Anolis sagrei: one gene and its partners. The protein of the gene in region 1 interacts with the protein of each later gene in a pairwise test. Links are inferred from orthologs where the notes say so. Each region holds a gene or a part of one and is shown on either strand. Other genes may lie near its edges.

Evidence for each region.
Region 2: the proteins of LNX2 (region 1) and TUBB interact in a two-hybrid assay, tested with the Homo sapiens proteins (3 studies listed by BioGRID and IntAct). The link is inferred for Anolis sagrei from reciprocal best matches to the Homo sapiens genes LNX2 and TUBB.
Region 3: the proteins of LNX2 (region 1) and PHYKPL interact in binary tests that used the Homo sapiens proteins (3 or more experiments, as listed by UniProt). The link is inferred for Anolis sagrei from reciprocal best matches to the Homo sapiens genes LNX2 and PHYKPL.
Region 4: the proteins of LNX2 (region 1) and volume-regulated anion channel subunit LRRC8E-like interact in a two-hybrid assay, tested with the Homo sapiens proteins (3 studies listed by BioGRID and IntAct). The link is inferred for Anolis sagrei from reciprocal best matches to the Homo sapiens genes LNX2 and LRRC8E.

The regions. Positions count from the first base shown.
Region 1 is NC_090023.1:31,187,635-31,195,507, forward strand, and holds the start of LNX2 (ligand of Numb protein X 2), read right to left. Parts: upstream 3,003-7,873; 5' UTR 2,786-3,002; intron 1-2,785.
Region 2 is NC_090022.1:21,651,705-21,659,475, forward strand, and holds the start of TUBB (tubulin beta chain), read right to left. Parts: upstream 3,007-7,771; 5' UTR 2,833-3,006; coding exon 2,776-2,832; intron 1-2,775. UniProt on the Homo sapiens protein: Tubulin is the major constituent of microtubules, a cylinder consisting of laterally associated linear protofilaments composed of alpha- and beta-tubulin heterodimers.
Region 3 is NC_090022.1:88,355,729-88,363,111, reverse strand, and holds the start of PHYKPL (5-phosphohydroxy-L-lysine phospho-lyase), read right to left. Parts: upstream 3,002-7,383; 5' UTR 2,942-3,001; coding exon 2,892-2,941; intron 1-2,891.
Region 4 is NC_090022.1:112,648,238-112,655,618, forward strand, and holds the start of volume-regulated anion channel subunit LRRC8E-like, read right to left. Parts: upstream 3,002-7,381; 5' UTR 2,919-3,001; intron 399-2,918; 5' UTR 304-398; intron 1-303. UniProt on the Homo sapiens protein: Non-essential component of the volume-regulated anion channel (VRAC, also named VSOAC channel), an anion channel required to maintain a constant cell volume in response to extracellular or intracellular osmotic changes.

The DNA of each region.
Region 1 (7,873 bases):
TAAGGCAGATAATCCACAATATCTGCTTTGAACTGGGTTATCTGAGTCCACACTGCCATGCATTCCAGTTCAAAGCAGAAAATGTTGGATTTTATTCAGCTGTGCAGAAAAGGCCTCACTTCCATCTCTGAATACAATGCACTGGTCTGAGAAAACAGGCCTGAAGTGAGCTTCTTTCAAAAATTTTCAAACTTTGGGGAACCACTGCTTTAATTTCTGATCATCAATAAAATAACCTATCATAAAGGAAAAGAATAATGTGTGCAGAAGCGGGACACCTAATATTCAGAAACAAGTTATAATTGGTGTGCCCTCCTCCTGGCCCTGCAGGCAATTCTTAATTATTGGAGGATTATGTGACTCTGTGCCCACTTATTTATTTACTATATTTACATACCGCTTTTCTCAGCCCTCAGGTGACTCAAAGCGGTTAACAGTAGCAAAATTCAATGCTCAAAACATCACAAAACAGTCAAAAATAATTAAAACAGTAGGATAATAATAATCAATTATACATCAATAAAAGATCTCATTAGCATCTCATAGTTAGAATCAAGATCCAGTCTCATCATCCAGTTGTTCCATATTCCTATATTCATTACACTGCCTGTTCAAATGCCTGTTCGGACAACCAGGTCTTCACTTTCCTCCTAAATGCTAACAAGGAGGGGGCCATCTAATATCTGTAGGAAGGGCGTTCCACAGCGAAGAGGCCACCACTGAGAAAGCCCTGTTTCTCATCCCTGCCAGACATACTTGTGATGCAGGCAGGACCGAGAGCAGGGCCTCCCCACATGATCTTAATGTCCTAGCTGGTTCATAGGAGGAGATGCATTCGGACGGGTTAGTTGGGCCACTTCCCAAGGTGCTTCTGCACTGTAGAATTAATGTGGTTTGAAACCAAATGTATGAGTATGGAGCTGCGGTGGTGCAATGGGTTAAACCCTTGTCCAGGCTGAACTGTTGACCTGAAGGTCAGCGGTTCAAATCTGGGGAGTGGGATGAGCTCCCATCTGTCAGCTCCAGCTTCTTGTGCGGAGACATGAGAGAAGCCACCCACAGGATGGCAACACATCCAGGTGTCCCCTGGGCAACATCCATGCAGATGGCAAATTCTCTCACACCAGAAGTGACTTACAGTATATACTCAATTCGCTTCTGACACGATTAAAAACAAATCCAAGTGTATGTAGCTTCAGGTCGCTCAGGGACTTGTGGCAACCCCATGATATTTTATAGGGTTTCCTAGGCAAGGAAGACTTGGGATATACTTATTTATTTATTTATTTATTTACTATTCTTGTATACCGCTGTATCTCAAGCCCAAGGGCGACTCACAGCGGTTTATAATATAGTCCCCCTTGCCTAAGAAACTCTATACATTTACATTATAGAATTAATGTATGTCAGCACCACTTTAACTACTCTGACTGGAAGCTGTGGAATCTTTGGACTCTCTGGCAGAGGAGGCTGGAGACATTGCAAAACTACAACTCCCATGGTTCCATAGCAAGGAGCTCTGGCAGTTCGAGCAGTGTCAAAGCGCTGAGGGGGGAAAGGAAGGGGCCTGAGGCTGTTAGGAATTGTGGGAGTTGGAGTCCAAATCACCTGGCGGGCCCAAATTTACCCATGCCTGAGAGGGGAAAGGAAAGGGCCTGAGACTATTAGGAAATGGAGGGAAAGCGGCTGAGGAGGGAAAGGAAGGGGCCTGAGGCTGTTAGGAATCATGGGAGTTGGAGTCCAAAACACCTGGAGGGCCCAAGCTTACCCATGCCTGAGAGGGAAAAGGAATGGGCCGGAGACTGTTAGGAAATGGGGGGAAAGCGGCTGAGAGGGGAAAGGAAAGGGCCTGAGGCTGTTAGGAATTGTGGGAGTTGGTGTCCAAATCATCTAGGTCAGTGGTTCTCAACCTGGGGTCCCCAGATGTTTTTGGCCTTTAACTCCCAGAAATCCTGGGATTTCTGGGAGTTGTAGGCAAAAAACATCTGGGGACTCCAGGTTAAGAACCACTGACCTAGAGGGACCAAGTTTACCCATGCCTGAGAGGGAAAAAGAAAGGGCCGGAGACTGTTAGGAAATGGGGGGAAAGCAGCTGTGGGGGGAAAGGAAAGGGCCTGAGGCTGTTAGGAATTGTGGGAGTTGGAGTCCAAAACACCTGGAGGGCCCAAGTTTAGTCATGCCCGTCCCAGATAGTCCATGCATTGTGTACGTTCAGACATGTGAGAGTCAGGCTCCAATTGTCTATACTGGACCTGTTAGGAATTGTGGGCGTTGAGAGTCCAAAACACCTGGAGGGAGGGCCCAAGTTTGCCCATGCCTGGTGTAGAAGGATGCACCTCAGATGATGCGGTGGGGTGGGGAATCATTCCTCCCAGCAACACCAGCAGCATCTTCTGTTGATGTTTGAGAAGCGGGAGAATGAATGGGAAACCCAACGCCTGAAGGAAGAGCAGGGGATGATGGAGTTGGTGATGATGCTCTATAGGTAGATGTCACAGCAGCCTGCAGGCAGAGGTTGCCAACGGAGGTGGCGGCAGACCAAAAACGAAGAAAAGGAAGGAAGAAAAGGAAGGAAGGCAGGCAGGCAGGCAAGTCGGAGAGAGCAGCCGGGAAATGCGCACCGCCGCAGTGCCCGGAGGGAGCCTTAAAAGGAAGCGCCTGGGTCCCAAAACAAGAGGCTGCGAGAAGAGGAGGAGGATAAGGGGGGGGGGGGGCACCGGGGTAGGAAAAGGCGCCCCAGACCCGGCCATTATTTCATTTCCCTCTCCCACTGGAAGTTACTCACCCTAAGGGGCAGGAGGAGCCCGGCGCAGTTGCCGTCTCGTGGAAGGAGGCATCGTGGAAGAGGAGGAGGAGGAGGAAGAGGGAGCTGCAGCAGAGAAGGTCCTCTCCCCCGCCGCGCCGCAGCTGGAGCCGCCAGGGCTGCAAGGCAGGCCCTCTGGCTCCTCCTCCTCCTCCACTGCCACTCGTGGAATGAAGCAAACTCCAGGCGGGACTTGGCACCCGAGATTCCCCCACCCTACCCCCAGCTTATCTGGAAGCTCCTCCTCCCTCCTCTCCTCCTCCTCCTCCTCCTTCCTCTCCTTCTTCCTCCTCCTTCCTCCTCCTCCTTCCTTCTCTTCATTTCTCCTTCCATGTTCCTCCTCTTCTTTCTTCCTCCTCCTCCTCCTTCCCCTTCCCCCATCCCATCCCACCAAGATTCTCCCATCCCACCAAGATGGGGTTCTTCCATGGCTCTCTAGTACAGTGTTTCTCAACCTTCCTCATGCCGCGACCCCTTACTACAAGTTCCTTATGTTGTGGTGACCCCCAAACTTAAAATTATTTTCTTTGCTACTTCATAACTGTAATTTTGCTACTGTGTTGAACTGTAATGTAAATATCTGATATGCAGGATGGATTTTCATTCACTGGACCAAATTTGGCACATATACCCAATACGCCCAAATTTGAATACTGTTGGGGTTGTGGGGTGTGTATTTTTGTCATTTGGGAGTTGTAGTTGGGATTTATAGTTAACCTACAATCAAAGAGCATTCCGAACTCCACCAACTACAGAATTGTGCCAAACTTCTCACACAGAACCCCCATACTGGTGTATGCCTCCCTCCAACCTCACATGCTTTCCCTTGCTCTCTCATGCCCACCATGCTCTGATGTGCCAAGCACGCCTGCTCTCCCCTTCCTGCTTGGAGTCTCAGAAACAGTCCTCCCCTTGGCTGAGAGGCCACCTGAGAGGCCTGCCAATCAGAGTGAAGGAGGGCTTTTGGTGGGAGGATCCGCGGCCGTTTCGAATAAGGAAAGTCTTCTTTGCCAAAGGGGTTCCTAAGACCAGCAGAAATATATGTTTTCTGATGGTCTTTGGCGACCCCTCTGAAAACCCCTCACGACCCCCCAGAAGGGGCCCCAGAATATCAAGGCAGATAATCCATAATATCTGCTTTGAAGTGGGTTATCTGAGTCCACATTGCCATATAACCTAGTTATATGGCAATGTGGACTCAGATAACCCAGTTGAAAGCAGATAATGTGGGATTTTATGCAGCTACGTGGAAGGGGCCTTATTTACAACATAATGCACTTCTACTTATGATGGCTCTATGGACGAGAGAGTATATCGTGGGATATACAGTAGATCCTGTCTAGAAGGGTCCTTAGAGCTATATTCCCCGGACTCAAAAATGGGACAACACAATCCTATATGAAATAATTTAGAAATCAAGCTCTATAGAGATGTATGGTGCTCTATACAGCTCTATAGGGTACAGATTACAGGCACAGGAAACCTGCTATGCTAATCTTTCCAAAGGGAGGCTCAAACTTTTGGACTCAGGCCTCTTCCACACTGCCCCTATATCCCAGGATCTGATCCCAGATTATCTCTTTATCCCAGAGATTTTACTGGTAGTGGAGACACATATAATCCAGTTTAAATCAGATAATCTGGGATGAGATCCTGGGATATAGGATGTAGAAGGGGCCTCAGATACTTTGTTGGATGGAGAACATTTTGAAATTTAAATTCCAGCTGAAATCAGAACTTTTCTGATTGGGAATGATGGAATAATCTTCCAGTACATGATTACAGCTGCCAAGCTGCTTTATTTACAGAGATGGAAAGATACAAACATCCCATCACAAGAAGATTGGTTGGTGGCATTGTGTGGCTTGGTAAGGATAACAAATTAGCAATTTTGGCTAAAGAGAAATAACTTCACAAAAAATTTTTCACAATAATTGCATTTCTGAAACTGGTGGAAATTAACAGTGCTAGGATTTGAAGAATAGTAAACATGAACAAATATGTAGAACCGTTTTTATATTATAAAATTAGAAGAAACAGGCAATTGTAACCATTAACTGGGACATTGGAAGTCACATGTTTATGTTTCCCATTTTGTTTTCTGTATTGTCATTTTATAGTGTAGTTATTTACACTTGCAGTTTAAATAGTAGTTACTTTGTGTTCTGTAGTGTATCTAATTTTTCCTTATATTTTTTTATATTTTAAAGTTTTTGTTTTAATAAAGGTATCATAAACAAAAAGGGAGGCTCTGCTGAGTGGATACATACTACAACGTTGTAACATTATGATTCTACTTTAACTGCTAGTTAAACACATCAGCTATATGTTTTAACTGATGATGTATGTTGTTCTCCACCTTTATCCATGAAGAGGGATGGGTAGGACATGATAATGCAGTTTCCTTATCCAGAATTCCAAAATACTCCAAAATTTAAAACTGACCATCTTGTCGGCTAAAACAGTGACATTTATGCTTTTTGGCAGTTCAGTGTAAAAAACCTGTGTCTTATGCACACAATTTTTTTTAAGTGTGTATAATAAGTATATGTATCAGAAATATATAAAACATGCATAGATTCCTTGTTTAGACTTGGGTTTGAGGTTTGACATACAACATATCTCATCATTTTGTATTCAGGTATTTCAGAATACAACAACAGAACAACAACAATAATAATTGGATTTTGGGATACCTGTATGCATACATGATATTATTATTTTAAATAATTAGTATTATTGGATATGTGTATGTACATGATTATGATGATGAAAATGATTATTATTGGATATCTGTATATATACATGAATTATTACTATTATTATTATTGGCATCTGCATATGTACATATTATTATTATTATTATTATTATTATTATTATTATTGACACAAAAAACACAGTATGTCACAGCAAACAAGATATATATGTTGGATTTCGTATCACAAAATCACAAGTCAAACACTTCCCAAGCTTCTAGGACTGGGTTATTATTATTATTATTATTATTATTAATAATAATAGTGGGATACCTGTATAGATACATGATTACTTTTTATTTTTGTTATGTTCACATTCAATCAATTTACCTGTTCTGAACTTATGACCAAACTCTGATTCAGGTGGTTTTAGCTTGGTTGGTATAGTTGACCTCGCTGGCGTTATTGGCTGCATATTTTAATTAATTATTTCATATGAAAGTTACTGTTGTTTATATAATTTATGTGTGATGTTGGCTATGTTGGATTGTTTTCCACATGCAACACTTTGAAAAACAAGCCCTGGAAACAACAACAAAAACGCCCACTATGTGGTTCAGATATGTGAATGACACCTTCACCACTTGGAGCCATGGAGAAGAAGAACTAAACAGGTTCCTGGACCACCTTAACAGCATCCACCGAAACATCCAATTCATCATGGAAAAAGAAAATGAAGGAAAACTGCCTTTTCTAGATGTTCTCGTCATCCGCAAACCAGATCAACAATTGGTTCACAGAGTTTATAGAACACACGGATAGATACCTACATAAAAATTCCGATCATTACCCAAGTAAAAAAAAGAAGCACCATTAAAGCCCTGGCAGACTGTGCAAAAAGAATCTGCGAAAACCATCTCCTCCAAGACGAACAGAACCACCTAAACTGGGGTTTACAGGCCAATGGATACTCCACCACAGACATCAGAAGACCAAGAACAAGGCACGAGAGTAAAGGCAAAGATCCACCCAAAGGAACTATACATCAAGGGAACCACTGACCGCATAGGGAACCTGGTGAGAAAACACAAACTATCTACAGACCTACTAAGAAAATCCAACAAGTGCTACATTCAACAAAGGACAAAAGGGATCCTCTCACCTCTGCAGGAATCTACCGTATACCATGCAGATGTGGACAAGTGTACATAGGGACCACGAAATGCAGTGCCCAAACACAAATCAAGGAACATGAAAGGCACTACAAGCTAATTCGACCTGAGAAGTCAGCCACAGCAGAGCACCTGATGATCTAACCTGGACATAGCATATTATTTGAGAACACAGAAATGTTGGACCCCTAGTTGTTCAATGACACAGAGAAGTCATTGAAATCCACGAGCATGTGGACAATTTCAACAGAAAGGAAGAAACCATGAAAATGAACAAAATATGGCTACCGGTATTAAAAAAAAACTCTAAAATTATAACAGTAAATAAAGAACAACACACAAACACAGGGGAACTCCAGACAAGAAACAATCAGGAATCACCTCTCAATAAAGGATTCCCCCCAGGCAATAACAAGTCACATCTAAAAAAAATCCTGTTAGGCCATCAAATGCCAATCAAGGTGGCCAATTGAAACATTCACACCTAGCTCCAACAGCCAGGGATTCTTTCTCCCACCCTGGACATTACAGATATATAAATTCAATTTTCCTAGTTTACAACAGACCTCACAACCTCTGAAGATGCCTGCCATAGATGCAGGCGAAACATCAGGAGAGAATGCTTCTAGAACATGGCCATACAGCCCGAAAAACCTACAACAACCCAGTGATTCCAGCCAATAAATCCTTTGACAACACACTGCCAACACACTTTGACAACACTTTGACAACACACTTGGGGCGGGGGAGGGGGCAGGGGACTTCCATCTTGTCTCCTGCATATGTCATCAGTTGGGGACCCCTTCCCCCAGCGCTGACTGCTGCTCGGGGTCAAAGTGAGGAGAGAGGGGGCCAGGGGACAGTTCCATCTTGTCTCCTGCATGTCATCATTTGGGGACCCCTCGCCCAAGCACCGGCTGCCACTCTGGGTCAAAGTGAGGAGGGGGGGGCAGAGGACAGTTCCACCTTGTCTCCTCCTGCATATTCATCAGTTGGGGACCCCTCCCCCCAGCTCCAACTGCCGCTCTGGGCCAGAGTGAAGAGAGAGGGAGCCAGGGGACAGTTCCACCTTGTCTCCTGTGCTATGCTAATAATATAATATAATGTAATGTAATATATTGTATATACATATATTTATAATATTATAATGAACTGCAATATAATACTAATAATATAATTATATATTTATATTACATGTAAT
Region 2 (7,771 bases), on another chromosome or scaffold:
TTGGTGTCTCTGAAGCAGTTTTAAAATAAGACACATTGTATTTCCCAAGTAGGCACTTTTTTTCCTTTTGAGGAACACATGCCTGGCTTTTGGCTTTTCTTTTTGTTTGGGATTTATAGGGTTTTTTTGGCTTTGGCTTCAAACTACAAGAAAGGAGATTCCATCTGAACATTAGGAAGAACTTCCTGACTGTGAGAGCCGTTCAGCAGTGGAACTCTCTGCCCCGTGGCTTTTCTTTTTGTTTGGGATTTATAGTTTCTTTGGCTTTGGCTTCAAACTACAAGAAAGGAGATTCCATCTGAACATTAGGAAGAACTTCCTGACTGTGAGAGCCGTTCAGCAGTGGAACTCTCTGTCCCGTGGCTATTCTTTTTGTTTGGGATTTATAGTTTCTTTGACTTTGGCTTCAAACTACAAGAAAGGAGATTCCATCTGAACATTAGGAAGAACTTCCTGACTGTGAGAGCCGTTCAGCAGTGGAACTCTCTGCCCCGTGGCTTTTCTTTTTGTTTGGGATTTATAGTTTCTTTGGCTTTGGCTTCAAACTACAAGAAAGGAGATTCCATCTGAACATTAGGAAGAACTTCCTGACTGTGAGAGCCGTTCAGCAGTGGAACTCTCTGCCCCGTGGCTATTCTTTTTGTTTGGGATTTATAGTTTCTTTGACTTTGGCTTCAAACTACAAGAAAGGAGATTCCATCTGAACATTAGGAAGAACTTCCTGACTGTGAGAGCCGTTCAGCAGTGGAACTCTCTGCCCCGTGGCTTTTCTTTTTGTTTGGGATTTATAGTTTCTTTGGCTTTGGCTTCAAACTACAAGAAAGGAGATTCCATCTGAACATTAGGAAGAACTTCCTGACTGTGAGAGCCGTTCAGCAGTGGAGCTCTCTGCCCCGTGGCTATTCTTTTTGTTTGGGATTTATAGTTTCTTTGACTTTGGCTTCAAACTACAAGAAAGGAGATTCCATCTGAACATTAGGAAGAACTTCCTGACTGTGAGAGCCGTTCAGCAGTGGAACTCTCTGCCCCGTGGCTTTTCTTTTTGTTTGGGATTTATAGTTTCTTTGACTTTGGCTTCAAACTACAAGAAAGGAGATTCCATCTGAACATTAGGAAGAACTTCCTGATTGTGAGAACCGTTCAGCAGTGGAACTCTCTGCCTCGGAGTATGGTGGAGGCTCCTTCTTTGGAAGCTTTTAAACAGAGGCTCGATGGCCATCTGTCGGGGGTGCTTTGAATGCAATTTTCCTGCTTCTTGGCAGAATGGGGTTGGACTGGATAGCCCATCAGGTCTCTTCCAACTCTATGTGTCACCAAACTACAAATCCCAGGACTCCACACCCTTTAGCCATGGCAGTTAATAATGGGAGCAAGCTGCATTCATATTACAATGGAGAGGCTACTCATTGTTGCTCCAACTCCAACCCTTTATGTGTGTTTATTACAAAGAGACTGTAGAGCAATGGTTAAAAGATATTGATAAGGTATATAGAGATAAAGCCCGCTATTTTCACCCCACACTTCAGAGCCTCGTGCGGGAAACCTCATGCCTTTTTCTCCCCTCCCACTTCCTTTAGCAAAAAAAAAATTCAAATCCCTCCTCCTGGTTGCAGCTCCTTGGCGCTAAAAACGTTAAGGAGGACGTTAGTTGGCGGGGAATTGGGGGCGCCTTCCCTCCCTTTTCACCACCTGAATGCATGTTAAGAGGAAGCGAACCCCACGCCCCTTAAGTAACGCCGTTCCTTTGGGAGAGGTAACGCGTTACATTGTTAAAAATAGTTAAACGGAAGGAAAGAACTTGGGAGATATGGAGAAAGCGCTGTGATTATGGGAGGAAGCAAATTCCACGCCAGTTAAGTAACGCCGTTCCTTCTGGAAAAGCAACGCGTTACTTTCCGTTGCAAAGTAGTTAAATAAGGAAAAACACTGGAGATATTTGGGGAAAATGTGCTTTTGGAAGCAAATTCCACGCCCTTTAGGAGGAAGTAACGAGTTACTTTCCATAGCAGAGTAGTTAAGCGGGAGAAAGAACACCTTGGAGATTGGGAAAACGCTGTGATTATAGGGATGGGAAAGAGGAAGCATAATGGCGCGTTCTTATTTAACGTCGTTCCTTTTCACAGCGTTTGGATCTCGTTGCCGCCCCACCCAGCTTTCCTTTACCCCTTCCCCCTCCCCCCAAAGACAATGGCTTTGCAATAGGCGAGCGTTTTGTACGGAACGGAAGCAGCGTTACAGCCCCACGTTCCTTTCCTTGTCGTTGAAAGGAATTAAAACGAGTCCTTCCCCTCCCAAGCCAATATTTTAAATCCAATGCGCCCGCCCCCCCAAGAAAAATGACTTTGCAATAGGAAAGCGTTTTGTAAGGAACGGAAGCAGCGTTACAGCCCCACGTTCCTTTCCTTGTCGTTGAAAGGAATTAAAACGAGTCATCCCCCTCCCACGCCAATATTTTAAATTTAATGTGCGCGCCCCCCCAAAGAAAAATGACTTTGCAATAGGAGAGCGTTTTGTAAGGAACGGAAGCAGCGTTACAGCCCCGGAAGCAGCGTTACAGCCCCACCTTCCTTTCCTTGTTGTTGAAAGGAATTAAAACGAGTCCTTCCCCTCCCAAGCCAATATTTTACATCCAATGTGCAGCTCTGCCGACTACTTCCTTTCGGCCACATTTTAAAATAATAATCTCCTGAATTATGAAAAATTATATTGCTTGAATTACTTTTCTTTTTTTGCAACCCCAATTTAATAATATATACCTCAATGACCCATCCTCACCTTTGCACCGATCTGGTTACCACATTGCCCAGCTTGAATGTGCACGATTTCCCTCATCTTTGCCTGGCTTTCAAAACACTTTCCCCCCTCTTAATTACTTTTCCCTCGTTCCTTTCTGCTTCAGAGGCGCGCCGCTCCTTTAAGACTCAGAACGTTGGGGAGCTCAAGGTTCGATCCTCCGAAGGCGACGCAGAGGGAAGGCAGGAAGGCGGGCCGGGCGCCCAGACAAAGGTTTTATAAACTGGCGGGCGGTCCGCGCTCCCATTGGCCCGCGGGCGTCAGGAGCGGCGTTCTGATTGGACGGCGGCGGAAAGAGACACGTAGCGGGAGAGGGAGGGGGCTTCGGAGCAGAGCTGGGTGTGGCAGCAGGCGCAGCAATGGGGAAAGTGGGAGGGGGGCACTGCAGCTCTCCCTTTTGTTGGGAGAAGACGGGCGCCATTGCATGGGGGTTTGCACTAGCCCACATGGTGGTGGTCCTCGCCACGCCTAGACCAGGGTAAAACATCACCCAAGGTCCAAGATGCATCTACACTGCAGAATGAATGCGGTTTGATACTGCTTTAACTGCTAAGTTGGTGAGGTACCAGTACTCTTTGTCACAGAAGGCTACAGACATTGTAAAATCCCATTCTTCCATGGCAAAATAATGGCTCACAATCAAAAACATGGCAAATATACAATAATAAAATCTAGGTTCTTGTGGGTTTTTTCGGGCTATAGGGCCATGTTCTAGAGGCATTTTCTCCTGACGTTTTGCCTGTATCTATGGCAAGCATCCTCAGAGGTAGTGAGGTCTGCTGGAAGTAGGACAATGGGTTTATATATCTGTGGAATGACCAGGGTGGGGCAAAGAGCTCTGCTGGAGCTAGGTGTGAATGTTTCAACTGGCCACCTTCATTAGCATTTGAAGGCTTGCAGACCTCACTACCTCTGAGGATGCTTGCCATAGATGCAGGCGAAACGTCAGGAGAAATGCCTCTAGAACAGGCATGGGGAACCTTCGGCCCTCCAGGTGTGGTGGACTTCAACTCCCACAATTCCTTGAGGCCAAGGTAAGCCTTTGGAGCGAATGCCGAGCCTCAAGGAATTGTGGGAGTTGAAGTCCACCACACCTGGAGGGCCGAAGGTTCCTGACCCCTGCTCTAGAACATGACCCTATAGCCCGAAAAAACCCACAAGAACCTATATACAATATATTTGCATGGCACAATATTAGTATTACTAGATTACAATATATATTGTATTATTATTAAGATTGTAATGTATTATATTATCTATATATGTATCTAAAGGTAAAGGTAAAGGTAGTACCCTGACATTAAGTCCAGTCATGTCTGACTCTGGGGTGTGGTGCTCATCTCCATTTCTAAGCCGAAGAGCCAGTGTTGTCCATAGACACCTCCAAGGTCATGTGGCCGGCATGACTGCATGGAGCGCCGTTACCTTCCCGCTGGAGCGGTACCTATTGATCTACTCACATTTCCATGTTTTCGAACTGCTAGGTTGGCAGAAGCTAGGGCTGACAGCGGAAGCTCACGCCGCTCCCCAGAATCGAACCTGTGACCTTTCGATCAACAAGCTCAGCAGATCAGTGCTTTAACCCACTGGATATATATTTATTTATCGTGTCATCAGCAACCATACCATTGTATTACATTTCTAACAGAACAAAACAAACAAACAGGTTTAAAAAAACCCACAGATTTTGCAGACTTGGTAATTGATTCAATGTTGATTCGATGTCCTTTGACCAGTATCTGGCCACTTGGAGTGCCTCTGGGGTTGCCGCAAGAAGGTCCTCCATGGTGCATGTGGCAGGGCTCAGGTTGCATTGCAGCAGGTGGTCAGTGGTTTGCTCTTCTCCACACTCGCATGCCGTGGATTCCACCCTGTAGCCCCATTTCTTAAGATTGGCTCTGCATCTCGTGATGCCAGAGCGCAGTTTGTTCAGCGCTTCCAAGTCGCCCAGTCTTCTGTGTGCCCAGGGGGAGTCTCTCATCTGGTATCACCCAGGGATTGAGGTGCTGGGTTTGGGCCTGCCACTTTTGGACTCTCGCTTGCTGGGGTGTTCCAGCGAGTGTCTCTGTAGATCTAAGAAAACTATGTCTTGATTTAAGTCGTTGGCGTGCTGGCTGATATTTTATTTATTTATTTATTTGGGGTTCTTCTACCCCGCCCTTCTCACCCCGAAGGGGACTCAGGGCGGCTTACAGTAGCAAGGCACAATTTGATGCCTGCATCATAAAACAAGTGTACACAAAATTACATCAAATCAATTAACAATTCATACATAAATTCATACATTATTCCCATAAAATCAATAAAACCCCCATACAAACCCAATTTCTCCTTTTACATGGTCAGCGTTTGCTCATTCATAGTTCTAGTTTCCTGTTCCACTTCATCAGTCCTGCTGGTCTTACTCGCCTGAATGTCTGCTTTAATTGCTGGAGTGCCCAAAGGCCTGGTCCCACAACCACGTCTTCACCCTCCTCCTAAAGGCGAGGAGGGATGCTGCTGCCCTGATTTCCCCGGGGAGTGAGTTCCACAGGTGAGGAGCCACCACTGAGAAAGCCCTGCTCCTCGTCCCCACCAGCCTCACTTGTGAGAGTGGTGGGGTCGAGAGCAGGGCCCCCCCCAGATGATCTCAAGGTCCGGGGTGGTACGTAGAGGGAGATACGTTCGGACAGATACGCTGGACCGGAACCGTACAAGGGATTTGCTTTATTTTCTTAGGTATTGTATTGTTGTATTGTGTTGGGCTTCGGCCTGTGTAAGCCGCATCGAATCCCTTGGGAGATGCTAGCGGGGTACAAATAAAGTTATAATAATAATAAAAAAGGGATGAGCTGGAGATGTCTCTGCCTTGGTCCTTTCACTACTGGCTGCAACTTCCCGGCGGATGTCAGGTGGTGCAATACCGGCTAAGCAGTGGTGTGGGGCGCAGACACCCTGTGATAATGCGGCATGTCTCATTAAGAGCCACATCTACTGTTTTAGTGTGGTGAGATGTGTTCCACGCTGGGCATGCATACTCAGCAGCAGAGTAGCATAGCGCAAGGGCAGATGTCTTCACTGTGTCTGGTTGTGATCCCCAGGTTGTGCCAGTCAGCTTTCGTATGATGTTGTTTCTAGCGCCCATATATACATGTATATACAATATATTTGCATGGCACAATATTAGTATTACTATATTGCAATATATATTGTATTATTACTATTAAGATTGTATTGTATTGTATTGTATTATCAATATATGTATATACTATATATTTACATAGTACAATATTGGTATTATATGACAATATATATTATATTGTATTATATTATCATATTATCAATATATGTATATACAGTATATTATATTTGCATAGCACAATATTACTATTACTAAATTACAATGTATATTATATTGTGTTATTATTAGAAATATGGGATTATACTATAATATCAATATATGTATATACAATATATTATATTCGCACAGTGCAATTTTACTATTATTATATTACAGTGTAGGAGCCCCCGGTGGCAGAGTGGGTTAAACTGCTGAGGTACTAAACTTCTTGACCGAAAGGTCACAGGTTCGAATGTGGAGAGCGGCATGAGCTTCCGTTCTCAGCCCCAGCTTCTGCCAACCTAGCAGTTCGAAAACATGCAAATGTGAGTAGATCAATAGGTACCGCTCCGGCGGGAAGGTAACAGTGCTCCATGCAGTCATGCTGGCCACATGGCCTTGGAGGTGTCTACGGCAACTCCGGCTCTTCGGCTTAGAAATGGAAATGAGCACCAACCCCCAGATTCATACATGACTGGATTTAATGTCAGAGGAAACCTTTACCTTTACCTATATTACAATGTTTATTATTTTGTATTACTAGAATTATATTGGATTATATTATAATATCAATATATGTATATACAACATATTATATTCACATAGCATAATATTAATATTACTGTATTGTGTATTACAATATTATATTGTATTATTGGAATTATATTGTGTTATATTGTTATTTTCTTTTTCTGGCTGGGGTGAAAATTGCTGGAAGAAACATTAACAATCTTAGATATGCAGATGACACCACTCTGATGGCAGAAAGTGAGGAGGAGCTGAGGAGCCTTCTAATCAAGGTGAAAGAAGAAAGCGCAAAAGCTGGGTTGCAGTTAAACATTAAAAAATCAAGATTATGGCAAGAAGAATGATTGAAAACTGGGAAACAGAGGGAGAAAACATGGAGGCAGTGACAGACTTTGTATTTCTAGGTGCAAAGATCACTGCAGATGCAGACAATTAGATCAGGAGACAATTACTTCTTGGGAGGAGAGCAATGACCAATCTTGATAAAATAGTGAAGAGTATAGACATCACACTGGCAACAAAGATCTGCATCGTTAAAGCAATGGTATTCCCAATAGTCACCTACGGATGTGAGAGCTGGACCACAAGGAAGGCTGAGCGAAGGAAGAGAGATGCTTTTGAACTGTGGTGTTGGAGGAAATTTCTGAGAGTGCCTTGGACTGCGAGAAGATCCAACCAGTCCATACTTCAGGAAATACAGCCCGACCGCTCATTGGAGGGAAGAATAGTAGAGGCAAAGATGAAGTACTTTGGCCTCATCATGAGAAGACAAGGAAAGCTTAGAGAAGACCATGATGCTGGGGAAAATGGAAGGAAAAAGGAAGAGGGGCCAACCAAGGGCAAGATGGATTGATTGCATCCTTGAAGTGACTGGCTTAACTATGAAGGAGCTGCGGGTGGTGACAGCCGACAGGGAGCTCTGACTTGGGCTGGTCCATGAGGTCACAAAGAGTTGGAAACGACTGAATGAATGAAGAATATTATGATACTATCATTATATGTACAGTAGAGTCTCACTTATCCAACATAAATGATTTGATACGATGCTGTATTTTTTACTATTTTGCACATTTTATGGTACAATAATTGGAGTACGGTTTCCCAGGGCCCTTCCACCCAGACATATAGCCC
Region 3 (7,383 bases), on another chromosome or scaffold:
ACCTTTGCAGATAAAATGTGGTTCTGGAGTATCTTCAAAATGCATATTAAAGGGGAAATGTGACCCTTATCCAAAACCAGTTGCAAACCTCAACCAAGACCAAAAGGTTCCCCTATCAACAATACTTTCATCTTGTAAAGTTGAAGTTTGTGTGCTCAAATACAAACCAAATTACTTCCAGAGACCTGAAAGTTTCTACTGCCTTCCTACAATTAATCAATGGAAATGAGATACTGTTGTCTGCATTCAACAGCTGTGTATTTTCTGATTTATTGTGATCCTATTGTTGATTTGTTTTGCAAAATATGTTCAGAGGGGGATTATCACTGCCTTCCTCTGAGGCTGAGAGAGTGTGAATTATCCTCAATCACCCAGTGGATGTCCATGTCTGAGCAGAGAGTTTAATCTTGGTCTCCCAGAGTTTTTGTTCAGTACTCCAACTACTACTACATGCTAGCATACTACAGTACTCCAGTCCAAATCTACAGATAACCACCTCCAAGTCCAGCACCAAAAGGCTGTATAAGCAGATACCATGGTGGATTGCACCAAAAGTAGCTGACAGTCAATAGAGTTGCACTCCCCTGTTGCTCTCCTGGCAAAGGTAAGTGATTGTAGCCTGGAAACTGAGCCTGGAAACATCTATTCATACAAAATTAAATACTGCCCTATCCCTAAAGTCATTGCAGAAACCTATATTTTGCCCTACTTGTGAATTCCTCTTTCATAAGGTCAAAAGCCTGATATTTCAAGGGGCTGTGATATTTCAAGTCCGGCTGAAAGTGCTTTCATAGCCTGCTTAGTTTTCACCAGAAGCTTAATCCCTGCTCTCTAACACTGAGTATTAACACCTGGTCCTAAATCCCGTGCTTAATCTTGATTTGAGCAAATCCATTGAATTGTGTGAATTCACCTACATGTTCCAGCTGTGTAATGTTAGCTGAAACATACGCATGTGGCTGAGCTGCAGGGATTTCTCAGGAGACTGGGAGTGAATGTCCAAAGGAGTTGCTAACCCAGAACAGAAAGCTACTGTGTTCCAGAAGTACAGAATATGAATTCATCCGTAAGTTTAAATTTCTTTATTTCAAACGATAGTAGAGGACATGTTGGTATGCAGGGGGCATTAGTTAACAAGAGGCAGTCACCATTAAAGGAGCCCTCCAGATGTTGTTAAACTGCAGTTTCTAGCACTCTTGCTGTTAATCACGCTGGGGCTTGCAACAACATCTGGAGCTGCCCCAAAATAACAATTCTAATAAAAGGGAAATTCTCTTTGATGGTTACATTTGCTTGACTTATGTGGGTTTATAACATGCCCCTGCCCCTGACTTTTATAGCATTTCTCAATAGTTGGGAGTATTAACTAGAACTGGCAAGTCAGTCTATACTTAGCTCAATCCTATTGAGTGAATGGCTCTCCTCTAGTTAGAAGTAACAATAGGATTTGGGCAAATGAGAATTTATTCAAGTGTCAGAAGCGAATTGAGAATATTCTGCAAGTCACTTCTGGTGTGAGAGAACTGGCTGTCTGCAAGGACATTGCCCAGGGGCGCTCAGATGTGTTACCATCCTGTGGGAGGCTTCTCTCATGTCCCAATAATAATAATAATAATAATAATAATAATAATAATAATATACCAGGTGACAGTTGCACTGAGGAAAAACAACAGGAAAAACTCAGCCATTATCAGTACAGGTGGTCCCTGTGGTCATTGGCACACTGGGTGCCGTGCCAAAAGACCTCAGCCGGCATTTGGAAACAATAAACATTGACAAAATCACGATCTGTCAACTGCAAAAGGCCACCTTACTTGGAATTGCGCACATCATTTGAAAATACATCACAGTCCTAAACGCTTGGGAAGTGTTTGACTTGTGATTTTGTGATACAAAATCTAGCATATATATCTTGTTTGCTGTGTCATACTGTGTTTCTGTGTCAGTAAAATAATAACTTTATTTTTATACCCCACCTCCATCTTCCTGAAGGGACTTGGGGCGGCTTACACAGAACAGTTAAAAACACAATGTGTATCAACAAAATAATAACAAAAGCAATATAACAAAATAAAAACAACACTAAACAGTGTATATAACGGACGTCTTATCAGCCCCACACGGGAAGCTGGGGCTGATAGATGGAAAATCACCCTGTTTCGTAAATTTGAACTGCCGACCTTCAGGTCAGCAGTTCAGCTGGCACAAAGGTTTAACCCACTGTGCCACCTTGGCTCCCTTATTCAAGATTGGGGTGAGTTTACTTGGCAATCAGGAATGTTCCTAAATTGTCCATGAGATTGTGACAGCTTTTTCTTCTGATGGATGGTTCAGTGTAGAAAAAATTGAGGTTTTGTACAGAGAATTATTAGAAATATTGTGCATAGGGGTATAAGATATATATGAAACAGAAATGGGTTATGCACTTGGACTTGGATCCCCTCGCCAAGGGTTTCGGGCAAGGGGTGCTCAACTTACACCACCAAAACTACATCTTGCTGGGACAACACTTGAGAATGGGAAAGGCGAGAAGGCAATGGGATGCAACCACATTTTAAACTTAAGATGCATCTACACCATAGAAATGATGCAGCTTGACACCACTTTAACCGTGCCTGGCTCAATGCCATGGAATCATGGGAGTTGTAATTTTCTATGGTCTGTAGCAGGCACAGGACAAACTTTCTACTGCAGCCATGGAAGGCACCAACCCCCCCCCCCCCCCTTAAAATATTCTGGTACTGGAAGCTAAGCAGAGCCAGCCCCGGTTAGTCCTTGACTGGCGGAGGAATAGACTGTGAGCTACAGTTCAGAAGAAGGAAGTGGCAACAAGGTAAAGGCGCCCTCCCGACTTTCCCCCCTGCAAGCCCGCCCCCTCCCCCATTGCTCACCCAATGAGCTGCTTCCGCAGGGCCAGGGTCTCTTGGCGGCTGCGCGTCATGGCTGATCGAGGGAGGGAGGGAGGGAGGAAGGAAGGCAGGAAGCCCACAGAGAGGGAGGAGCGGCCGCGGAAGGTCGCCAAGCGGAAGCGGGAAAAGGAAAGGCCTTTGAATGCCCTTTTCCCCCTTCCTTCCGAGGCGGCGCTCAGGAATCCTTCCTTCCGAGGTGGCGCTCAGGAATCCAGCTCTTTGGGTGTTTTTGCCATTGCACGACACAAAAATCCACTGCCAATCGCTTTTGGCACCACTTTCTTGAGTGCACAGCTCCCAACTGCAGCAGCTCGGTACTTTGGAATCCTGGGAGCTGTAGTTCGACAAGGTCTCGAGCCCCCTGTTGCAAAGAGTCGTGGTGCCTCAGCAAAAGTGCAAAACCAGGCACCCTCAAACTGCGGCCCTCCAGCTGTTGGGGCCTTCGACTCCCACAACGCCTGACAATTGAACAAGCTCGTTAGGGCTTCTGGGAGTTGGAGGCCCCAAACAGCTGGAGGGCTGCAGTTTGAGGGTGCCTGTACAAAACCCTCAATCCCATAGCACTGAGCCAGTTCAAGTGGGGGCAAGCCACAATTGAAAAGAGATATTGACAAGCTGGAATGTGTCCAGAGGAAGGCGACTAAAATGATCAAGGGTCTGGAAAACAAGCCCTACGAGGAGCGTCTTAAAGAGCTGGGCATGTTTAGCCTGAAGAAGAGAAGGCGGAGAGGAGACATGATAGCCATGTACAAATATGGGAGAGGAAGTCATAGGGAGGAGGGAGGAGGCTTATGTTCTGCCCTGGAGACTAGGACATGGAACAATGGCTTCAAATTACAAGAAAGGAGATTCCATCTAAACATTAGGACAAACTTGTCTGTGAGAGCTGTTCAGCAGTGGAACTCTCTGCCCCAGAGTGTGGTAGAGGCTCCTCCTTTGGAAGATTTTAAACGGAGGCTGGCTGGCCATTTGTCAGGGGTGCTTTGAATGCAATTTTCCTGCTTCTTGGTGGAATGGGGTTGGACTGGATGGCCCATGAGGTCTCCTCCATCTCTATGATTCTATGATTCATCCTGCAGTGTAGATCAGGCATGGCCAAACTTGGAACACCTGGAGAAAGGCCCAAGTTTGCCCATGCCTGGTGTAGATGCACCCTGGGACTTGCCCTCAGGGGATTTTTCTGCCTAAGGACTATAAAAGGGCCTCAGATGCTGCCTGTTCTTGGAGGCTTAGCAGGGTCAGCCCTGGTTAATACTTGGGCGGGAAACCCCCAGTGAATAGCACCTGCTGTAGGTTATTTTTCGGAGGAAGGAACTGGCCAAGTCCCCCTAGGGCAGTGATTCTCAAGCTGTGGGTGCCCAGGTGTTTTGGCTACAACTTCCAGAAATCCCAGTTTTCCAGCTGTTAGGATTTCTGGGAGTTGAAGGCTAAAACATCTGGGGACCCATAGGTTGAGAACCACTGCCTTGGGGCCTCATCACACTAGAGCAGTGGTTCTCAACCTGGGGTCTCATTTTGGGCTTATTGGCCAGTATGAAAATAGTGGAATGAAAAGGACCCCAACTATCTTGAAAGGTATAATATTATGAGTAAGAATTGGCACCACTTTGGGCAGTGCTCATTGGGAATGTGTGGCCTTCCAGAAATGATTTTTCTCTTGTACTTTCCAATCTCTTGTCAGCCTAGAGTGACCCCATGAATTTCACTGGGTCTTTTTAGCTGAGGAATACTTTTAAGCGCTTTGGCATTGCCATCTATAGCCTCCAGCAGTATGTGGCCTTCACAGAACTTTAGACTCCTTTGGAACAGAATTGACCTTGAGATCACTCACTGTACACTACTTTCTGCATACATAATTGAAATTCTGAGTAGCACTTCATGCATCTGAGGAATTGGACTATTGTCCACAATAGTACATTCTGTAATAAAATGTATTAATTTTATGGTGCTACAGAATTCCTTCTCATTTTCATATTTTAATGTTTTTTTTTCTTAAACCATTTGAAGACAAGGCAGTAAAATTATATGGAAAGTTGGTTTTGCAGGAACCATTCTTATTGTTAATCATGTTATTTAATGCTCATCTGCATGTTTTCAGGAATCCGACATTGCCAAATACAATATATTGTCCAATGTATAATTTAAAAATAATTTATTTAGGATTAAATCTACCTGAATAGAATGGGCGTTAACTATCAAATAAAGAATGCCCATGTACATCAACTGAGCAATGCAAGGCTGTAATTATATGGAAAGGAGGGTTGCGTTCAAAAAAGCAAATTGTTGCAGATTCCTGCTTCTGCTTTAGCAGACTCATCCTACAAATGTTTATCAAGGGCTATTCAGTCTAACTGCTGCAACACGCTCTACATGGGGTGGCCTTTGGAGACTGTTTGGAAGCTTCAATTGGTCCAATGGACAGCAGCCAGATTTCTCATTGGAGTGGCATATAGGGAGCACACAACCCCCCCCCCCCAATTGCGTCAGCTCCACTGGCTACCGATTCAAAATGCTGGCTTTAGCTTATAAAGCCCTAAACAGCTCCAGCACAACTTACCTGTCAGAACATATCTCTCCTTATGAAGCAGTTAAAGCATTAAGATCTTCTGGGGAGGCCCTGCTCTTGGTCCCACCCCATTTGTAAGCACAACTGGTGGGGATGAGAAACAGGGCCTTCTCGGTGGTGGCCCCACAGCTATGGAATTCCCTCCCCTGTGATATTAGATTGGGCTCCTTCCTGGTTTTCAGGGAAAAAAGTAAAGACATGGCTTTGGAACCAGGCATTTGGGGAGTAGTGCAATATGGAATTGGCATGATGTAGCAGCATGTATGACGACTTCAGGTCTCATGTTTTTAACAGTTCTAATTGTATTTATTTCATTATCTGTTTTATTGCTAAAGTAATTGTGTTTTATTGTGTTGCATATTTGTTTTGTTTATGTGGCATTGAATATTGCCATACTGTGAGCCGCTCTGAGTCCCCTTCGGGGTGAGATAGAGCAGGATAGAAATATAGTAAAAAAAACAAAAACTTTATGCCATGCAGGAATATACAACTAAAGCACTTATGAAAGATGCCCATTCAACGTGTTTAAAGGTCTACCACCCACTAAGATAATCTATTTCTCATGTTTAAGTGGAATGTCTTATCTTGTAATTTGTATCCATTGATTCAAGTTCCCCAAACAAATGAGCTCCATTTTCTACGTGACGTCCCTTCTGATATTTATGGATAGTCATCATGTCAGCTCAGGTGTTCCTCATAAGGCTTGGTTTCCAGATCTTTGATCATTGCAGCTTGTTAATACTATTTTTGGACTTCATTGAGGACACTGGAAAAACTCAGTGTGAGCTTGTTAAAGCTTTTTTCCCTACACTTAATAAGTTTATGTAATACAAGCTTTGCCCTCCCCACTTGTTCGAGACTGAATGTACATCTCCCTCTGGTGGTCACTCTGTTCCATAGGAATCTCTGTTACAGTGGACTCCTTTAGTTGCTTGTGCTTCCTCTGAATATTTTTGGTATTCTGCACTCCTCAGGATTACACCCAGTCTCCCAATTATGTGAGTAGTGTTTTTCTGGCTTGAAACATTCCTAATATAAATTAAGTGTGGGCAACTATGCCCCTTCGTGAGTTTGGATTGCACCCTTTACCTTTAGCTATGCTGTCCAGAACTGATGGAAGTTGCATTCCAATATCTTGTGAGCCAAAGTTGCTTATCCTTGGTGTATACTGTATAGAATACTTTAAGATATCCAGTGCCTGCGATCCGACATTCCCTCAACATGTCTTAAACATTTAAATGTGCAGCTATGCTGTGGTACTATTACTGGCCATCTGCAAGGACGTTACCCAAGGAATGCCTGGATGTTTGATGTTTTACCATCCTTGTGGGAGGCTTCTGTCATGTCCCTGCACGGGGAACTGGAGCTAACAGAGGGAGCTCAACCCACTCTCCCCGGGTTCGAACCACTGACCTGTCAGTCTTCAGTCCTGCCAGCACAAGGGTTTAACCCATTGCGCCACTGGGGGCTCCATTCAATACCATGTAAAATAGCAATATTGTACAACTAATGCCGATGACTGGGCACCATTGAGTAATGCAGAATATGCACTGTGCAACCACTGGTTTGAAGTCTGGGTAAGAGCTCAACTGGATGGAAAAAAACCTGTTAATCTTAACCTAAATGCCAGAATGGGACCACAGTTCTGGTTGTGTATGCTGAGGGCTAAACAAGAGAGAAATGACAAAAGCCATAGTAAAAACTATATGTACAAGAAGCAATTTATTTTTAATCTGTTCAAATATCAACTCTTGCTATGGATTAAAGCACAAGATAGTGGGAACACTGCGAAACAATGCAGTGCCTGTTGTAAAATTTACAAAACAGAATTGATCAGTACAAGTCCATTATTTTTTTATTCAATAATGCATAATACTGTATTAATGCCTTCATTTCTTTTTTTAAAAA
Region 4 (7,381 bases), on another chromosome or scaffold:
ACTTCAAAAATGTGCCTGTTCTGACTTACATACAAATGCAACTGAAGAACAAACCTACAGAACCTGCCTTGCCTGCAACTTGGGGACAGCCTGTACTACCAACAATAAGGACTTTGGAATCTCTCTGTTCTTATATTTTCATACCTATCTGATAGTAGCTACTTTTCACCCAGTGCAACAGTGGAGTTGAGCTGGGCTAAATATCCCTTGTGGTATTAAGTTACCCATTTTCTTTCCCCTCCCCACTCCAATCCCTGCTTTTTTATAGATGACAGATAACACGTGACAATGTGTTGAATGTACCTTTTTAAATTGCGACAGTCCTAAGTCTTCCTCCTCAGGAGAGATCTCCAGTCACTCTGGGTCAAATCTTCACATGAACGTTTGGCTGTGTGGTCCTAGGAGAAACCCAAGAGAGCTTGTCACTGGCTGAAATCAACACATCCAAGCTGCTTTCAATTGGTCTCCGTTCTCAGCTCCCACCAAATGAAAACTGCCTGCAGACACACACAAATACACAATGCTCATCAACACATCTTCCCAATTCCAAGGTCCTTCCTTTTCAAAAGTCACCGGGTTGAATCCAGCTGGCACAGCGTCATTTATTCCCGGCTCTCCCTCTCACCAAACCTGTTTCTCCACACCTCAGAGCATAGGAAGCAACAATTCAGAAGCAGCTCCTCTGAGCATGTGCGAGCGCCTGGCTTTCGCAGAAGGCCAGCCCAAGAGAAAGGACTTCTTTGAGAGTTGGACACTCCCCAAAGCCCACCAGATGCTGCAGCTCACAGCATTCGCAACATTCCTCACTCTGGGTGCATCTATACACAGTAGAATGAATGCAGCTTCACACCTCTTCTTGCACTGCCCAATGCTACAGAATCCTGGGAATTGTAGTTTTATAAAGCACCAGTACTCTTTGGCAGAGAAGGCTAAAGACCTTGTAAAACCACAACTTCCATGATATCCTAGCATTGAGCCATGGCAGTTCCAGTGGTGTGAAACTACATTCAGTCCTAGCCAACATAGTATAGACCAGGCATGGGCAAACTTCAGCCCTCCAGGTATTTTGGACTCTAACTCCCACAATTCCTAACAGCCACAGGCCCCTCCCTTTCCCCCTCAGTCGCTTAAGTGAAAAAGTATAGGAAAGAAAGGAAAGGGCCTGAGGCTGTTAGGAATTGTGGGAGTTGGAGTCCAAAATACCTGGAGGGCCGAAGTTTGTCCATGCCTGGTGTAGACACACACTATGTTGGCTAGGTCTGTTGAGAACTGCAGTTCAGCAACATCTGGCCACGGATTTCCCCATTCTTCTTCTAGTCCCTTGCACCTTTACATCCATCTGCATCATTTGAGAAACTTGTTTTGGACTGCAGGCTCCAGAATCCTTCTAAACTCGCACTGCAATTTTTCCAATTTGATGTTTTACGTGACTATATTCAATAGCAACAGTCTTCATAGAAGGAGAAGAGGGCAGGCATGTTGAGACAGGGGCCGTGCTAGTTAAAGGATTGGGATAACTGCAGTTCTAAATGTTAACTTTCCTCCAAATTCTGCCTTGATGGGGAGCAAGGCCCATTGAATCTGGTGGGATGTAATGCTGACTAGACCTGCATAGGCTGGCACTACTATTATGGAGAAATCCATACTGAAGTCAAGTGGAAAGAGTTTCTCTTTTTCCCTTCAGGAGCAAAAACTGAAGTCTCCCAGGGCACCTGATGAACCAACCTGGACACAGCATATTATTGGAGAAGACAGAAATGCTGGACCACTCTGACAACTACCATGTCAGACTACACAGAGAAGCCACTGAAATTCACAAGCAGGTGGACAATTTCAACAGAAAGGAAAAAACCAAGAAAATGAACAAAATCTGGCTACCAGTATTTAAAAAAAAACTCTAAAATTAGAACAGTAAATAAGGAGCAATGCTCAAAAAGCAAGGGAATTGAGACAAGAGTAAATCAGGGCCAGCTAACACCTCCCAACAAAGGATTCCCCCAGGCAGTAACCAGACAGGCATTGAAGCTGCAAGGCTACAATGCTAATCAAGCTGGCCAATTGTAGCATTCACACCTGACTCAAGCAGACAAGAGTTCTTTCTCCCACCCTGGACATTGTTCCACAGATATAGAAACCCCACTTGCCTAGTTTCCAACAGACCTCTCAACCTCTGAGGAGGGTTGTAGGCGAAATGTCAGGAGAGAATGCTTCTGGAACATGGCCATACAGCCCGGAAAACTCACAGCAACCTAGTGATTCTGGCCATGAAAGCCTTCAACAACGCATTCCCCTAGGGGAGATAGGGCACCCTATAAATAAAGTATTATTATTTGAAACATAACAAGATTAAAACACAGCAAACAAGGTCACTATGCTGATTATTGTATTGGATCACACGTCGGACCCTTCCCAAGTCTCTCGGACTGTGTGATGTATTGGCGAATAATGCGTGCAGATCCCAGTAGGGTGGCCTTTTGCAGCTGGCAGATGGCAATTTTGTCAGTACTGATTGTGTTTAAGTGCAGGCCAAGGTCTTTAGGCACTGCATCCAGTGTGCCGATCACCACTGGGACCACCTTTGATTCGCTGGTCACAACTCCCTCTCCTGCTTCTCTGGTTCAAGACCAAAACAACTGTGGGATGTTCCACGTTGTCCTGGTGCCCGTTTTCGAGACAGTAAAACAAACCCGACAAATCATGTTTTTCCCTCTCTCTCTATGTCCCTCCCTCTCGCTCGCTCTCTCGCTCTGGATTCGGGGGAGCTGTAGTTTTCCAAGGTCTTTCTGCTTCTCTGCCCAAGAGTGTCTCACTAAAGGACAACTCCCAGGATCTCACAGAACTGAGCCAGGGCAGTCAAAGTGGCGTCGAAACTGGGCTCATTCTATAGTCACGCCGCGACTTCCCCGTGGGGCCCTTACCTGGAGTTGCCGGCAGCACCTGACTCGGTCCCCTCTCACCGGGATTGCCCCCCCCCCCCGTCCTCTCTTTCCCCGCCTTCCCCAGCGAGGCCTCTCCCCTCCCTCCTTCCCTCCCACCCCCCCCCCCCCGCCGGCTCGGCGGCGCGGGGAGGGCGGGGCCCCCGGGAGGAGGCGCAGTAGCCCCGCCCAGAGCAGCCCCAGGCGGCAGGCACCGGGGAGTCCCTGGCCCAAGTCATTTCTCTGCCTGAGGCGGAGCTTTCAAGGGCCCGCGTCCGGCCACAGTCCCCATTCAGGGCCAGGCTCATCCTCATGCTCTGGGGATGTATGAAGGTTGCATGCAGCCTGACCCCACTTGAACTGCCCGCTCTCAAGACCCTGGGATTTGGAGTTTTACAAGGCGTATCCTTCCCAACCGTGCCTTGCAAGTGCATTCATTCTACATTAAGCGGCTGGGGGGGGGGGGGGGGAGGAAGGGGCCTGAGGCTGTTAGGAATGGTGGAAGTTGGAGTCCAAAACGCCTGGAGGGCCCAAGTAGGCCCATGCCTGGTGTAGAATTCCTTTCAGTGTCACCGTGGAGGGGATTGACTCACGCAGAAGGAAGGGTGGTGTCGACTTCTCAATTGTGGATGACTAACTCCTACTTCGAAAGTTGAGCAAGTAAAGTTTCCATTTGGAGGTGGGGTTTTTTTCCCATGTCAGGAGTGACTAGAGAAACTGCACATCGCTTCTGGTGTGAGAGAATTGGCCGTCTTCAAGGACGTTGCCCAGGGAATGCCCCAGTGTTTGGATGTTCGACCATCTCTCATGCCCCCGCATGTGGAGCTGGAGCTGACAGCGGGAGCTCGTCAGATTCGAACCTCTGACCTATTGGCACCCATTGTGTCACCAGGTGTGGGGTGAGGGGAGCATCTGTTGTGATTTCAATGGCAGTTCTCTGTCATGTTCGGATTCAAAGGGCTGATTCTCAGGCAGGACACGCCTGGTGTGAGAGGGTTGGAGTTTGGCCCCAGTCCGTTGCCAGTGGGTTGAGTTTTTCAGCCGCCTTGCACTGTGTGGCTCTGAGAATGAATGCTATGGAAGGTGACATTGATCCCTCTTCCAGATCACAGGGGAAGAAGAAATGCCAGCCTGCCAGGAGTTTTGCTCATCCACTTTGGTCAGGTTTACCCAGCAAGGTCTTTGGAAAAGGATGATGGAAGCTGAAGTCCACAACTGAATTGAGGGCCAAATACCATCTAGTAGGTAAAGGGTTTTCCCCTGACATTAAGTCCAGTCATGTCTGACTCTGGGGGTTGGTACTCATCTCCAATTCTAAGCCGAAGAGCTGGCATTGTCCATAGACGTCTCCAAAGTAATGTGGCCAGCATGACTGCATGAAGCACTGTTACCTTCCCACCAAAGCAGTACCTATTGATCTACACACATTTGCATGTGTTTCGAACTGCTAGGTTGGCAGAAGCTGGGGCTAACAACGGGAGCTCATGCCACTCCCCAAATTTGAACCTGTGACCTTTCAATCAGAAGTTCAGTATCTCAGTGCTTTAACCCACTGTGCCACCAGGGGCTCCTATCTTAGCCATGCCTTAAACTTGGCATGGGCAAACTTCGGCCCTCCTACAGCTGTTAGGAATTGTGGAAGTTGAAGTCCAAAATACCTTGAAGGCCATTTGCCTGCCTTAAACTCTCCAGCCACAGCTGCTGCTTTGTGTTACTCCAGTCAAGTTTGTAAAATGGATCCTTCCCATAACTAATTCATTTTGGATTTAACAAGAGAAATGGAGATGAGCACCAACCCCCAGAGTCAGACACGACTGGACTTAATGTCAGGGGAAAACCTTTACCTTAACCTATCAAGGAGTTCCCTGATTTAGATTGAACATTAGGTCCACTGACCTGAAAAATCTTGTTGTCCCTTAATCCCAGGTGCAAACGGGTGAAACCAGAGATTTCTTAAGATCTGTCACCTGATAACCTCTTCATTATTACTTAAGACATTCTGGAGTCAATGTATGTTTACTGAAAACAAGTGCTGAGGCAAAGGCCTTGAAAACCTGAGTCATGTAAACTGGAAAGCCTTTAGTAAACTGGGGATCACAGCTGTAGGGAACTCTCTGGATGGCCCCTATGGCATTCCCCATGAGACATCCATCCTCCAGTTGCTATTTTGTAATTTTTGCATAGTTTTGGTGCACATTCCAAAAGCATTAAAAGCCTTGCTTATTTATTTATGTATTTATTTACTGTGTTTTATATCCCACCCTCTCTCCTTTGTAGAGGAACTCAGAGTGGCTAATAGTTGGCAACATTAGATGCCATTCAAGCATAAGACAACATTTTGTTGAAGGTTTTCAAGGCTGGAATCATTAGGTTTCTGTGAGTTTTCCGGGCTGTATGGCCATGTTCCAGAAACATTCTCTCCTGACGTTTTGCCCACATCTATGACAGGCATCCTCAGAGGTTGTGTGAGGTCAACCTCTGAGGAGGCCTGCCATAGATGTGAGCAAACATCAGGAGAGAATGCTTCTGGAACACGGCCATACAGCCTGGAAAATTCACAGCAACCCAATTAGACAAAATCATTTGCTTACACTTACATACACCCACCACCTACCTAACACAGGATAAAAACTAGAGTGGTTGGTCCAGCTTCCCCTGAGTGATTATCTGATCAGTGTCCCAGAGGGACAGCATGTGGATGCAACTTCCTCTTGGGTAGTCATGCCTTTCTGTTGTGAGAGGATGCTTTTCAGGAGTCCTCTCTGCAATGTGAAGCTAGTTGTGCATTGGGATCTCAGGCCGGTTTATGCGAGTTTTTCAGACCTCAGCAAAATCTTACCTGGGCCAAACCAGCATTGTTCACTTGAGTCCACCATTAGTTCTCCATCAGTAGAGCATATTAAAAAGGGTCCAGCCATCATGGATAGTACCATTTCCCATTTCGTGAGGTTGTCAGCAGCATTTAAAACCAACTCTCCGAAATCTTCCAGGCACTGTTATTCCCAGGTGGGAGATGCTTTTACACACCTGCAGTGATATAGATCTCCACAGCTCATTTTGTGCCAAGGCAAAAAAGCCCAAAACAAATGCCCTTTTCATTCAGTGCCAAGGGCCCGCATTCCACTTTGCTGCCAGCAAACAAAGGCACCAGCCACTTGTGGAACCCATGAGTAATCCTCCAGTGCCATTTGTGGCAGGGGGTGCCCAGAGATCATCCAGTGCCCCTGAAATGCAGCTGGCTCTGGGGTCAGGCTCCTCACTGTAGGTAATGTCCAAATGCAGGGAAAAGGCAGAGAGAGAGAGAAATATAATAATCTCCTTGAGCCAGCCATTACGTAAAATGTTTGTGGCAGATTTGTGCAGGCAACCCTCTGGGCTAAATTCTGCTTTTGGTGACCAGAGGCAAATGACCTATAAAGGTACTTATTATGTTCTGGAGAAAGCTGATCTTTAGTATTATGAATGGGCTGAAAGCCTTTCATTGTCTGGAGGAAATTCATCCAGCCTGGATCTACTTCTAAACAGACACGGTCAGGTCGTCTGTGGGGTTTTGCTGTTTTCCAGATGGACTAGACGGTTTCTTCTGTGTGTGGGCTGGAGCTTTGTGATGTCGCCAGTTTTCCCTTGCCGGAGCTTACACAGTGACGATATTTGTGTGGTGGCCTGGATCCCGGCACCTGGAAGAAACTGTCGAATGAAAGTATGCCAGCCTGACACCAGTGCTCCGGAGCATTAAGAAACTCGGCAGCCTGTTACAGCTTCCTTGTTGCTCTTGACTCGCTACTTCTGGCTTTGGGATTATCTGCCCCCTTCATTTGCACTGATGATACTCTTCCCAGGGAACAGGCCTACCTGGAGGCACTTGGCCTTATTATTAGGTGACTAATTATGAAAATTCTGCCACCCTGGATTGGTAATGTGCAGCAACATGTTTACTCAGAGGAACGTTGCAATAACAAAGAAAATCTATGAATGTTTACTCAGATGAAAAACATATTAAGTTCAAAGAACTTATTGTTGCTGTGTGCTTTCTGACTTATGGCAACCCTACCGTGCAGTTTTATTGGCAAGATTTTCTCAGAGAAAGTTGCCCTTTGCATTCCTCTAAGGATTTTTTTTTTCAGGTCAAGAGCGACTTGAGAAACTGCAAGTCACTACTGGTGTGAGAGAATTGGCCATCTGCAAGGACATTGCCCAGGGGGTGCCTGGATGTTTTTTGATGTTTTTACCATCCTTATGGGAGGCTTCTCTCATGTCCCGCATGGAGCTGGAGCTGATAGTGATGAATAAAACTATATTTGCATAATCTGGCAGTCGTTACAACACCAGAAGATAGCCTTTAATGTGCAGAGTAGCAAGCTTGCGGAAACCAGAGCTAAAGTAGATGAATGCCAGCGGCTGTAAAAGGTACTAGGCCACCCCCCTTCTTTCTCCCTTTTAGGAAATACGCATGCAAATAACCATTC